Drosophila melanogaster: one gene and its partner. The protein of the gene in region 1 interacts with the protein of each later gene in a pairwise test. Each region holds a gene or a part of one and is shown in the gene's direction. Other genes may lie near its edges.

Region 1 (4,854 bases):
GGACATTCATCAATCAAAAATCAGTTCGATCGATATTATTAACCCTTAAATACATTAAACTTTCGGTAATGACTGAGGTGCTTCCGTCGATTCCCATCTTCGAGGGGACATAATTTATTGATTTATGTATTCAGTCCATTTGGGAAATTAGGTTTCAATCATTTCCAATTGATTTCTTCGTCGCAATTGAGAAACTTTTCCTGCCAACTTTCAGCAGCAAAATAGTTGGACAAAACAGGCGAAAAGTCGGTTGGTATGGGAATGCAAAATGCTCGGCATCTCCTAGTGGCTAACAAAATCCACTGCCAAACTAATTTGTGGCCAAAACTATGTGAGAGGCGAGCAGGAATGAAGCATGTGCCAAAATAATACAATAGAACCAACTGAAACTTACTTGGGCTTAGTTGAAAAGAAAACTTTCGCTAGCCAAGAAATTAAAGTGAAGTAGGAACTAGACTTCTGGACAATTTACGAGCTCCCATGGGATCGCCAACCGTTTTGGTAACCATGTATATAGCACATATATAGTATGTGCGCGTCGAGTCAGTTTGGCAATATAAATGACGATAAATTAATTATCGGCCGATCAAGTCATTGTCGCCATTAATTATGGGCCCACGATGCACGGCCCAACGGCCTTTTAATAGTTTTTCACACGCCCACGGGACTCAGGACCTTCGGCAATTAGGATGTGAGGTAGATGGATGTGAGGTAGATGGAGATGAGGAGATGAAATGAAATATGGCGTGAATGGGCCGAGGTTTTATGACAATGTTTGCTGCCTGAATAGCGCGGCAGCATCGTCTGGGCCATGAATTTAATGCGCTGCAACAGTTAATGATTTTATTGGCACTCCAGTCGCAACTTGGCCACATCTTTGGGCAGAGACCGGGAATCGGGGACAGCGGATTGGTGTTAGAATCCTCGTAAACAGTCGGGCTGGAATTTATGACTTGGTCTCATGAATATAATCAATGTCAAGAGCGACGCCAAGTGTCGTCTGGGGATCGCACTTGCCGCGCTCTCGAATCCATTCCCCGCAAGAAATCTGAGTGCCCTGACCAGACGCAGACGAATCCGGATGAGCCGTAAACGAAGACGGGCAAATCGCTCGCCTGGCTTAAATGGCATTTCAATTTGGCACTTCCGTTTCCGCAACATCCCACCCCCATTGCTTTCTATTGGCTTTCTATTCTTTGTCCGTAATGTCCTTGCCAACATTTCAATTGGTTCAACACTGGCTGACTGGGGTCACTTCTGCAGGTCTTGCTACGGATAATCCTTAAACATTTCAGCGTTAGAACTTCGAACACTTCGATCCGTTTACCAATAACATTTTACATTTCACTCGAGCAATTTAACTGCTGTTTTCGGGTTCAAAAACTAATTCAACAGCGGTTCTGGGTGCGCGCGTTCAACCAATGCGTTTGAAAGTCCCAATGTAACTGAAACGGCGTGGGCCAAACACAAATAACACGCTACGCAGATGTAAGCTCACCGGAAGGACTTTAAAGGACGAGCGTTCGGAGCTTTTATTTAAATCGAAAAGTAACTGACGGCAGTGGGATGTGACAAAAGTTCGTTGCTATGCAACGAAGGTCAGCCCAGTGTGGCAACGATTGCTTCATAAATTTCAATGAGTCTGGCAGCCCTGTTTTTATCTAATTCAAATTTGTAAATATCGTTTTTCTATCAATGGTCAATGCCTTCAATATTTGAACAAATCAAATTTTCTCTAGAACTGCTTGTTAAAAATTGTTGACATTCTGCAAAACTTTAACAGTAATTACTAAAAATATGGTGTGTCAAAGTGATCGATGTTTCACAAAAGGTATGTAATATCGATAGTATCGAGTAAACATTTTAGTGTGTTCCATCTCTAATCATAGTTACGCTTGCGCATTGTAGACATAATTTTAATTACCGATTTACACACAATTAATTGCTACAAATATGCCTGATAAAGTTACAACGATGTTATTAACCGCGTGAATATGAGGTAGCACCCAAAGAAGAGTTAGTTATCAATTAATTAGAGGCCTAGAAAAGTGTAACAAAATACGCCTGGCCATTGGTGCGCATGTGTGTGTGCCATTGATTACATAGTTGGCATAGGCGACGCACGGGTGCGAGCGAGAGGGGGCATCATCCAAAAAGGGGCGCAACAGAAACCGCATTCCATTTCCAGAAATCCAGGTTGCAGCTTCCATCCATGAGAAAGGTGCGTACAAATGTCCAGATGTGGGTTAAGATTGGCCAGTACTCCTCATCATTCGTTTTCTCCACACAGTAAGCGCCATGCACCACCATCATCCGCCTTTGCCCATAACCGGAGCAAGTGGCTCCACAGCCGTGGGAACGGGAGCAGCTGCAGCGGAGGATGCATCACCTGCTGCGAATAGTGGGCCCGCCCCCATAAGCACCTCAACCACGCCTTCGGGATCCAACAGCCAGCAGCATCAGCGACGTCGCAAGAAGCGAGCCAACTACAACTACAATGGCATCCGCACCGTGGAAGTGCGACGTGGTTACAATGGCTTCGGTTTCACCATTTCCGGGCAGCAACCATGTCGGCTGTCTTGCATCATCAGCAGCTCACCTGCCGAGCAAGCTGGCCTGCGTTCCGGTGACTTCCTCATATCGGTCAACGGTCTAAATGTCTCCAAGTTGCCACACGAAACAGTGGTGCAGCTCATTGGCAACTCCTTTGGCAGTATTCGCATGCAGATCGCCGAGAATTATTATTCCGACAGCTCGGATGAGGAGAACGCCCATGCCACGCTGAGGGGTCAATTGTTGGCAGCCAGTTTGAGGCACAAGCCCAGGTTTCTACACCACAAAGCCAAACTGCACAGATTGCGCAACTCGCCACAAAAGAAGCTAAACCCACCAGAGGCAGTGGAACCGCACAAATCAAAGTCATCACCCGATCACCCTACATTAAAACCCGTTCTGGAGGATCCGCCTCTGACAGCCAATCTATCCAAAGCAGCGGATGTGGCCAATGTAAGTGCCATGGTGCGAGCTGTGGGCAGTGCTGCACTGGAGTGCCGTGTTATTGTTGGCTATCTGGGAACCATCGAGATGCCCAAGCAGATCTCGCATAGTTCCAAGCTGCAGACAGTTCGATCTTGCATTCGAAAACTGAGACAGGAGAAGCGACAGCCCACCATTGTGCTGATGTGCATCACGCCGGACAGCTTGAGCCTGCAGAGTTCCAGCGGCGGAGTGCTGGCCACCTACTCCTCGGCCAGGCTGAACTTCGTGAGCTCTTCGTCGGAGAGCGAGAATCGATTCTTTGGTCTGGTCACTAGCGCCGTGCACAACACACAGATCGAGGAGGAGTACGAGCCGAGCGCTGGCAGCGCAGCAGCTGCTGGTCACATCAGTATCTCGCACAGCTGCCATGTCTTCGTCATCGACACCAAGCTGATCGAACATGCACAGCATTTGCAGCGGGCCCACGAGTTCCGCCTGCAGTGCACCCGGGATCCGATCTCGAATTTGTGTCTCGAGTTCCCTAACAACTCGGAATATGTGGTGAATCTCGTGCGCAGCATGTATACCATGCGGATTCTCCCACCGGCAAGTCGGAGTCATCAGGCAGACTATGAGGCGGGTGCAGGAGCCGCCGCAGCTGGAGGAGCAGTAGCAGCTGCCCACTCGCCGCAGCCATCGAACCACAGCGAGATCTCCACCACCACGTCCAATTCGGATTCGGGCATTGGCTTCAACAACGATTGTACGAATATTTCGGATCGCATTCTGGTTGTGGACTTCCTAGCTGCAGGAGCGGGAGCAGCGGCGGCGGCACATGCAGGACCACCAACTTATCCAGCTCCTGCTCGTCCACTGGGCATAGTGGGAATACCGGATAATCGACTGACTGTGCGGGCCATGCCCGATCATTCCGCCCTGCTAAGATCGCCGCCAGCGAGCTCTTCGCTTCGTCGACCCAATCTCCTGGCCAGCTTCAATCTGATCCAAAGTCCCGCCACGAATCTCACATCCACCCGCTCCTGTGATGATGTCCTTAATCTTTTTGTCGACGATTCACCGCGCACTTTGGCTGCCGTGGCCTCTATGGATGACATTTCGCTGCACTCGGCTGCTCCATCGCTCGATGAGGGCCACACGTTTGCCCATCCAGCGTGTGTGCCCCGCAAGATGCGCAGATCGTTGGCTCTGGAGACGCCAACAACGCCACACAAGCTGAGTGCCCAGGTATTTGGTCAACCTGGCTCGCGTCATTCGCTGGGCTTCGAAGCCATCGACAGTGTGCAGTCGTCGGTCAGTGGTGCATGTATGGATCAGACCATGGACACGTGGGCCAGCCTGCAGAATCTGCACAAATCGCACAAGGATCGGACCAGCATGTCCGCTTCCTCGTCCTCCCACTGCCTTTTAGAAGCTACGAACAGTGAACCTGATTTGGGGGTAAGTGGAGCATATCCTTTTGTTTATCCTACATGTATCATAAGTTTTTGAAATGATTGGGAATACCTATAATATAATCATAAGTGCATTTTATATCAAATCTAACCCATACAACCCTCGGCTTATGTGAACCGCTCCTGTGCGCGGGCAGAAATCTGTTTACCTGGACGCCGCTCCAAGTTACCTGCGTTCTCGGAGCTTATCGCCCCACACTGCTCCTCCTGCTCTCTGGGCCCACAGATAAGGGGCTCTTTCTCTCTCTCTAGTGGTCTGGTGGGCCATATATCGGCATTCCTTTGTCCGCTTACCCGGAGTTTTGGTAGTCACAGTTGGGCTTTGGCAATAGGTGGCCACGGTTCCGTTATCTACGATTCGGGTACGGACATCGCCGGATTTTAGTTACTATTTACGTCCAGG
Region 2 (8,015 bases), on another chromosome or scaffold:
TTTATTCATGGTTTTAAATCTATCTATTGTTATAAATTACTTGGAAATATTTGCATTTCTGAATCTACCAGCCACATACCAAATTTCATATCAATCACAACCGAATTCTCGCCAGAAATCAACTTGCTTGTATTGTACTATTTTCTCGCAGTGCATGGTATGTGTGGCCCGGCTAACGGTATATCTATTTCAAGGCCCATCCTTGTAATTGCTCCTCCATATCCATCTCTCTCTCTCTCTAGCCGCTGTTTTCCTGGCAGCTTGTTGTTTTTGGTTCTCCTTCCTTATTCATCTTCGTTTTCCCGATGGCGATTGAAGTTTTGGATGAAATGATGCCGACATTCGTCAAATTTGTTGGCATCAGCAAACAGTTTGGGATTCCGATTCCGATTCCGAATCCGACTGCAACAACAACAACAAGAGCAGCAATGTGGCAGCGTGCGCCGCATTTGCAGGCAGTAAGTGCGACAGAGATGGAATGAGAGCGACCACCCACAGTGCAGCATCACTGTATTTCTCTCTCGCTCGCACGCGCAGCGAAAACCGCATAAATCCATATTTCTCTAGCTTGTGCTTTTTACGATAAATTACAGAGGTTGCAGGGTGTTCGGTAGCGCACAAATGATCATTCATTCACAAGACAGCAGATACCCCCGCATGCCCCCTAATTCCTCACCGTCCCTCTCCCCGCCACTCCTACGCCCCTCTGCAAATGCCGCACTTTTCGTGTAAACATGTGTAAATCATGACCCGTTGATGGCCTTTATATTCATGGTAGAGCAAGAGGAGGGGTGGTGGATGTAGGGGGGTGGGGGTGTTTCTTGAGGAGGGGAGGGGGATGGTGGCCACATGTGACGTCCTCCGGCGGCGGCAAAACTTTTGCACTGCGACCCCATCCTCATCCTCATTCTCATTCTCATCTTTATCCGCATCCTCGTCTTCCTGCCTTCGCATCGCTTTGTTTAGATAAATTAGCTGCGGAAAGACCAGCCCCCCCCCCCCCCCCCCGTCACGTTCCATACCACAAAATTCACAAAATAGTTTCTTTTAATATCATCGATTTGGAAAAAAACAGAGGAGCTTCTATAAGTGGAATTATGCTAATGAAATTTTGAAATATTAATATTATTGCATTAATAAAGTTATTATTAATTATATGATCATTGCATATGCATGATTCTCTAAAAATAAGTTTAAAAAAAATGAAATTAAATATTACTAAAAATATAAGCTCAATAAAATATAAGCTCAGTTTAAATAAAAAGATTAACAGTGCAAACGAAAGTAATTTCTTTAGTTCTCATATGTTTTGTTATTTAAGAATTGACGTATTTATGTTATTTTTTAAAAAGTTCTGTTCTTCGAATTGACTTTAAATGATTCTAAATATTGTCAGTTTGTTAGAAAGGAGCTCCACTGTACCTGCGTCGCATGCAACTGCAGACATTTGGGATTCAAATCGAGAATGGAATGGAATTGTCCCAAAATAAAGGCAAATATTATTTATGCCAGGGCCCTGAGAACTTTTTCTCCAACGGCCTGCGTGCACATTGCATTGGTGTTGATGAGGGGGGAGTGGCGGGGCATGCATTTCAGAACAACATCATATTTTCGGCTATGTTTATTTACACTTAAAGCGCTATAACAACAAACTGAAATGCAAAGGGCAAGTTGGGCATAATGCATGTATGGCTCACGACTGAACAGCGGAAACAGGATCATATGAGTGGCATTCAAGCATAAAGTTTACAAAGTTGCGATAATTAAAATGCGTGTATATCAATTAAATTAATTTGAAATTTACCGCCCAAAAGTGACGTCACAGTTGCCTACAAGAAGATGCTAGCCAAGTCACACACCCCGCGAGTACTGCCAGACTGCAGCTAGCAGAGTACCACACCCGGCAGCGTTGCCACACAAACGATCGTGTGCAATGCACTAACGCCAGTGAGCAAGCGATCTGTGAACTTCGGCAAACAGTCACACCAATCCGACGCGAAGTGAATCATATTGCGCACAGCAAAATCAGCGGATAAGCAAATTAAAGCGACAAAAGAATATTAAATCGGCTCTGCCGCTGCAGCAAGAAGCGTGAAAACAGCAATGCAATCGGGCTAATCTCCAAAAAAAACCCAAAAACGTTTCAAGCCAGTGTGTGTGCGTGTGTTTGTGTGTGTGTGCTTGCGTGCGCTGCGCATGTGTGGTGTGTTTGTGTGAAAAGGAAGAGAGGTGGAAACGCACACAAAAAACGAAAAGAAAAAAAGTGTACAGCCGACGACGCGCAGACGCATCTCGAAATTGTTGGAAAAATCGCGTGTGAGAAGAGTGCGCGAAGTGAGAAAGGAGCAACAAATCGCTAAAGACATATTTCGAAGATGGGTTGTGCCGTGAGTACAGCACGCGATAAGGAGGCCATCGAGCGGTCGAAGAACATCGATCGCGCCCTGCGGGCGGAGGGCGAGCGGGCCGCCTCGGAGGTGAAACTGCTGCTGCTGGGTGCGTTCGCCTTCCATTTCACCTTTTCACCTCTCTAGCATTATTCCGGTATTTCCCCCCTTTGCGAATTCTTTGCTGAAATTCGCGTTGTGACCTCATTTTTTTTTCCATTCGCTCGCTTTGCTTGGGCGGGGTGGGTATCCGCTGGGTGCCGTTGCTTTGCGCTTTCGGCTGTGGTGAGTTGGGGCAAGGATTTTTGCCGGCTTTTCCAGTGCGAAAGGGTCTGGAAAAGGCTGGAAGGCATGGGATGAAACAATACAGTAGAGTTACAGTATAACGAATTAGTAAGACTAAAATTAGAAAAATGTAATTTATTTGTTTTTAAGATCACTCGTTATTATAAGACCATGTTATTCTAGCTAACAGTTTAACATAAAAGTCTAAAGTCCCCAACTATCCCATATTTCGACTATAAATATGCATGGAATGGAGTAAGTAGACTCCATGCAGCTCTGTTTATCTGGGAAAACCAATGTTTATGTGGCTGCTTGGGGCTAAACAAATCCGTCTGTTCGTAGATCGTGCATTATGCAATGTCTGTGTCCAATAATTCGTTGGCGATAAGGGAATTGAACGTAAATTGAAACCAAATGTCGGTTTGACTGTGCGGATACACTCGATTCTAGATTCTCGGTACTCAGTGCTCGTTTCTCATCTGCTGGCACGCACTTTTCAGATCTTTTGGATCGATGCAACAAGTGGATCGAATCGGATCCCATTGCCGCAATGGAAACATGTTTGTTGATAGCGCAGCGGTTTCCACTTTGCAGGAAAAACCATTCAAGCGACGAGGCGCCATCGTATCGCATATACAAACATACATGCATACATACATACATACATATATGATGTATGTATGGTTTTTGGTGACCCGACCTCTGCGGCAAATGCAGTGAAACTGAATGCCTCGCTGCGTTGCAACCTTCTGCAATTAAATTTCCACTCGCCGATTTATATGCACGGCATATGGGAACGATGATATATTTCACCGTCTGCGTGTGTACTTTTCATTTCATTGCCATTCATTTGCGAAAAACAATGCCGTGGAAGTTTTCCTCCAGCGCGGCTGATTGGCCAATGAATCGGGCCAAGATGACTAAGGCAACGAGTGGTAGGCTGGAAAGTACAGCAAAGACTGGCTATGCAACCTACACCTTTATTAAGTGAACTGATATATAGGGTTTACTGTACTAAATTAATTCATAATGTCAAATGTTATCATTTCAAAAGGATTTTTCTAAAAAAAAAAATGATGCACATTAGTAAATGATTTTTTTGGAACCTAGAACATAGTGTAGTTTTCATTTACACTGTAAAACATTTATCGAGCTTATCAGCAGCCACCGCACCTTGCACTATATTTGTTTGTGAGTAACCACTGTATTTGCAGGCTTAAAGATAATAAGGAAAACTGTTTGCCTCAATGAAAAACCTCGTAAACCGGTTTGGAAAATGCCCGCTAAAAGGTGCAGGAAAATTCTACCATTTTCATCCCCATTAAAAGATATCCCCTATTATCATTCAGTATCCCAGCTGTTTTCGTCCAAACCCCCGGTTGACCAGTGTAAATGCTTCTGGTTTACATAGCCAAGAAAACAGCTTGCACCAGTTGCATTTTGAAATTTAGCCCAACATTTTACACTTGATTCAATTGTTTGCACCTTGTGGGGCGTGTGTTCTGTAATTTCTGGATCATGATGAAAACCGATCTCTGATCTCCGATCTCCGAGCTGCTGCAGCTTTCCTCCGACTTCCAGCTGAGTAATTGGCTGTTTTTGTTGCTGCTTCGTTGTTTGTTCGCTGACATTTCAAGTGGGGTGAACGATATTAGCGCAAATAAATGGGCCCGCCATCAAATGCAACTGTCGCGGCTACACGGAAAGAAAAAGAAGAATGTACTAGTTTGCTAAAAAAAATATCTTTAAAAAATATAGTTTTCAAATTATGCAGTAAAGACATTGCTTATAATTTAGTATAAATATATATATTATTCATTGAATTTATTGGTAATTTCTACCAGTGTACAGCGACTACTTACTTGAATTGGAATCGGAATTGGCAGCCCCCAACGCTGCGCTTATTGAGTAGATTTAATAAAGCTGCTCAGCTGACACTCAATTTATATTACACTCTGCTGCCTCTCCCCTTTTCCTTACCCCCCCCCCTTTCCGCAAGCCTTTCAATTGAAAAGCACAACTTTTTCAACCGTTTTTCAACCAAACATATTGTGCTTAAGGGCAAAGATAGTGAATTACTGCATTATTTTGATGATATTTGCAAGGAAAGAGCAGCAAACCGAAGAGAGAAAACGAATTCCAATGGGGGGGGCATGAGTAAGAACTCGGATATCTGTAAAAAAAAAAAAAAAAAAAAAAATATGAAAAAAATGGGAAGAAAATAATATATAAACAAAATAGTGTCATGCTGCTGGCGCACCAATATCAAAATCGGCACTCAGACTGTCAACACACAGCAACTTAATAATCTACAATTATTTAAGAACTCGCTTACCAACACATTTAAACTGAAAGTATCATTGGGCTTATCAAAATTATCGCCAAGCGAGCGACCTTATACATATGTACGTCAATATACTATATGTGGTTAAATAATTGATGTACATATGTATGTACATCACATATAGGAAATTTCATGATAATCGAGAGATCTGCGTGAAAGTCACTACTAGGTGGGGGGCTTCCGTTTTGGGGCCGCATTTCATCTGATTTAATTGTTTACTTTTTCGGTGGGTCCGCTCAATTTCACACTCCCCGCTGATTAACACATTTCCCACTTCGATAACTGAGGCCAGGCGCCATTTAACTTGATTACTCATGGCGCAAACACTTTCTTACGATTCTCCTCCTCTTGCTGTCTACAGCTATTGTTCTTTCTTCTCCCCTCTTTTTTAAATCATCGCATGGCGTAGCCTTAGTCACCCTGTTTCCAATGAATATTCTAATTTCGATAAGTAATTATCTAACGAATTGGTTGGTGCAGTAAAAACTGCATGTCTTCCTTAAATTTCCTATCTAGCTAAATAGTGATTTTTTAATCATTTATGACAAATTGAACAAATATTTGAATGTTGTTTACAATTTCAAATTCTAATAAATATAATAAAAAGTTTTTTTAGCAACTTCTAACAACTATAAAATATATCAATAGAAGCTAGAATTCCTGCATTCCCCGCCGATTCTTTTTTCGCCGATATTCACTGTTTAATGATGTTAATTATAATACCGTTTGGTTGTGGCCATCGCGATGATAATGAGCTTGTAAACGCGGCTTTGTGCGTATCGCCGTTGTTCTGAGCCCGTCTCGCTCCAGCCCTATTGTTGGCCTCTCGCTCGCACCCGCAGTCGGCCGGGCGCGTGTTATGGCACAGCTAACGGTGCATTGATAAATGAAGGCCCAGCCACACCAACACACACGCACACACTCTTTCGCATTTTGTTAGTAGTGTTATTATTAAATTGACCTTTTTCCAGCCGCTCATTTGTGGATTGCTTTGTTCGCTACTTTTTTCCACACGGTGGCAAGTTTGAACATCGCCTTATGTCCATATTCGTATTCAAATCTGTCAATTTCATCATTATGCGGCGACCGTTGTTTGCCCATTATCAGCATTCAGCAGGCGTCTCTTTCGCTCCAACACTTTTTGGTGGCAAAATTAGTTAGCATTGTTCGGAATTGGTTAAAATTGAAGTCTTAACAATAACTCAAAAAAATTTATAAAACAAATTTAATGTAATATATATTGACAGTGAATGTAACAGTGGCCATTTAGTGTAATATATATTAACAGTAGGTGTAACAGTGGCCAGCACATTACAATTAGAGTGGACCCTATTCTAACACATTATGGTACCTAAAACTATAGGCTGAATTTCTTAATCTTCATAAATGTACGTAACATATGTATTAAACTTACCAATCTTCATTGAATGAGCACCATCCGCCCCAAGGGAACTTCAACCATGGCTGATTGATATACGTACGAATAGTAAAAACAATTAAAGTTTCAGTGCAAGTATCGAAGCCCTGAAAGTTGAGAAAAGTGAAAGTAAAGTCGCAGTTTTGGCTTTGGCAATTACCTAATCATCCGGTGGCTGGGAATGGACCCAACTACCAACTGCAGCAAAAAGTCGGCTTAATGCGCCATTGTTGCAATGCCCCAACATCGTGTATATATGTTTATATATAGCTATAGATATTCGAAATTACTTGGACCGGCAGATTTGCCAATTTTTGTATTTGCCCATTTGCTCTGCGATTTCAACTTCTTTAGTTTTCAGCGAAAAGGGAAACTGGCGAGCACGTAATGCGATTATGTTTCATATTTTTTTTTTTATCATTCGACGCAGCAGATAATATACATAGTACTACATATATAATAAACTGCCCAGACGAGCCCGTGTGTTTGTTGTTTATCAACGCTGACGGGTCAGGTCTCATTTAACAATTGAAGGCACTCGGCGAATAAAATTATGCCCAGTTAATTTTCTCCGCAATTTCCAACGCCTTTGATAACTAATGGGTGGGTGGTTCAACGAACTCCAGGGCTCGGCCATGCAAGTTAATAAATTATAATAAATTACAGAGTAGTACGCTTAGAAAATGCATATATCTATTTGGATTATCTTTAGCATGATGATGTGCATATAACTTGATCTGTTATCACAATATTATTGACCCTTATTTGGTGTTCATTTGATTCGTATTGAAATCCGACATGCTATATTAAATGACCATATACACGATGTTCATTCATTTCTCAACTAGACCAGCGCAATTAAGCGTGACCTCTTGAGTCGCGCAATTGAGCAACTTTTCTCGATCGTCTCATTCATAAATTCCACTTCCGTTCCCCTTGGCAAACTTAAAAGCCCCTTCCCGAAACCGAACTCATCGATTCATTCATTCAGTTTTACGCCCTGAACTTGGTGCATACAAATATTGAGCTCACACTTCCTTGGAATGATTCTTTATAAACTTTGATAGTACACCTTAACTAATAAACTCTGTTGAATTTCTTTTGTAGGAGCCGGAGAGTCGGGCAAGTCAACGATTGTGAAACAGATGAAGATCATCCATGACACGGGCTACTCGCAGGAGGAATGCGAGGAGTATCGTCGCGTCGTCTTCAGCAACACGGTGCAGAGTCTAATGGTGATCATCCGCGCAATGGGACGCCTGAAGATCGAGTTTGCCGATCCGAGCCGAACGGACATTGCCCGCCAGTTCTTCACACACGCCTCTGCCGCCGACGAGGGCATCCTGCTGCCCGAGATCGTGCTCCTGATGAAGAAACTCTGGGCAGACGGTGGCGTACAGCAGAGCTTCGCCCGATCGCGCGAATATCAGTTGAATGACTCGGCGGGATACTATCTAAATTCGCTGGATAGGATCGCGCAACCGAACTACATACCCACGCAGCAGGATGTGCTACGCACGCGGGTGAAGACCACTGGCATCATCGAGACACACTTCTCCTGCAAGCAGCTGCACTTCAAGTG

The links.
Region 2: the proteins of loco (region 1) and Galphai interact in a two-hybrid assay, tested with the Drosophila melanogaster proteins (2 studies listed by BioGRID).

What each region holds. Positions count from the first base shown.
Region 1 is NT_033777.3:22,636,384-22,641,237, reverse strand, and holds the start of loco (locomotion defects), read left to right. Parts: upstream 1-1,850; 5' UTR 1,851-2,221; intron 2,222-2,290; 5' UTR 2,291-2,298; coding exon 2,299-4,437; intron 4,438-4,781; exon of another isoform or gene 4,782-4,854. UniProt on the Drosophila melanogaster protein: Acts as a regulator of G protein signaling (RGS).
Region 2 is NT_037436.4:6,973,999-6,982,013, reverse strand, and holds the start of Galphai (G protein alpha subunit i), read left to right. Parts: upstream 1-1,969; 5' UTR 1,970-2,375; coding exon 2,376-2,496; intron 2,497-2,791; exon of another isoform or gene 2,792-4,367; intron 4,368-4,534; exon of another isoform or gene 4,535-4,845; intron 4,846-5,007; exon of another isoform or gene 5,008-5,692; intron 5,693-7,540; coding exon 7,541-8,012; intron 8,013-8,015. UniProt on the Drosophila melanogaster protein: Guanine nucleotide-binding proteins (G proteins) are involved as modulators or transducers in various transmembrane signaling systems.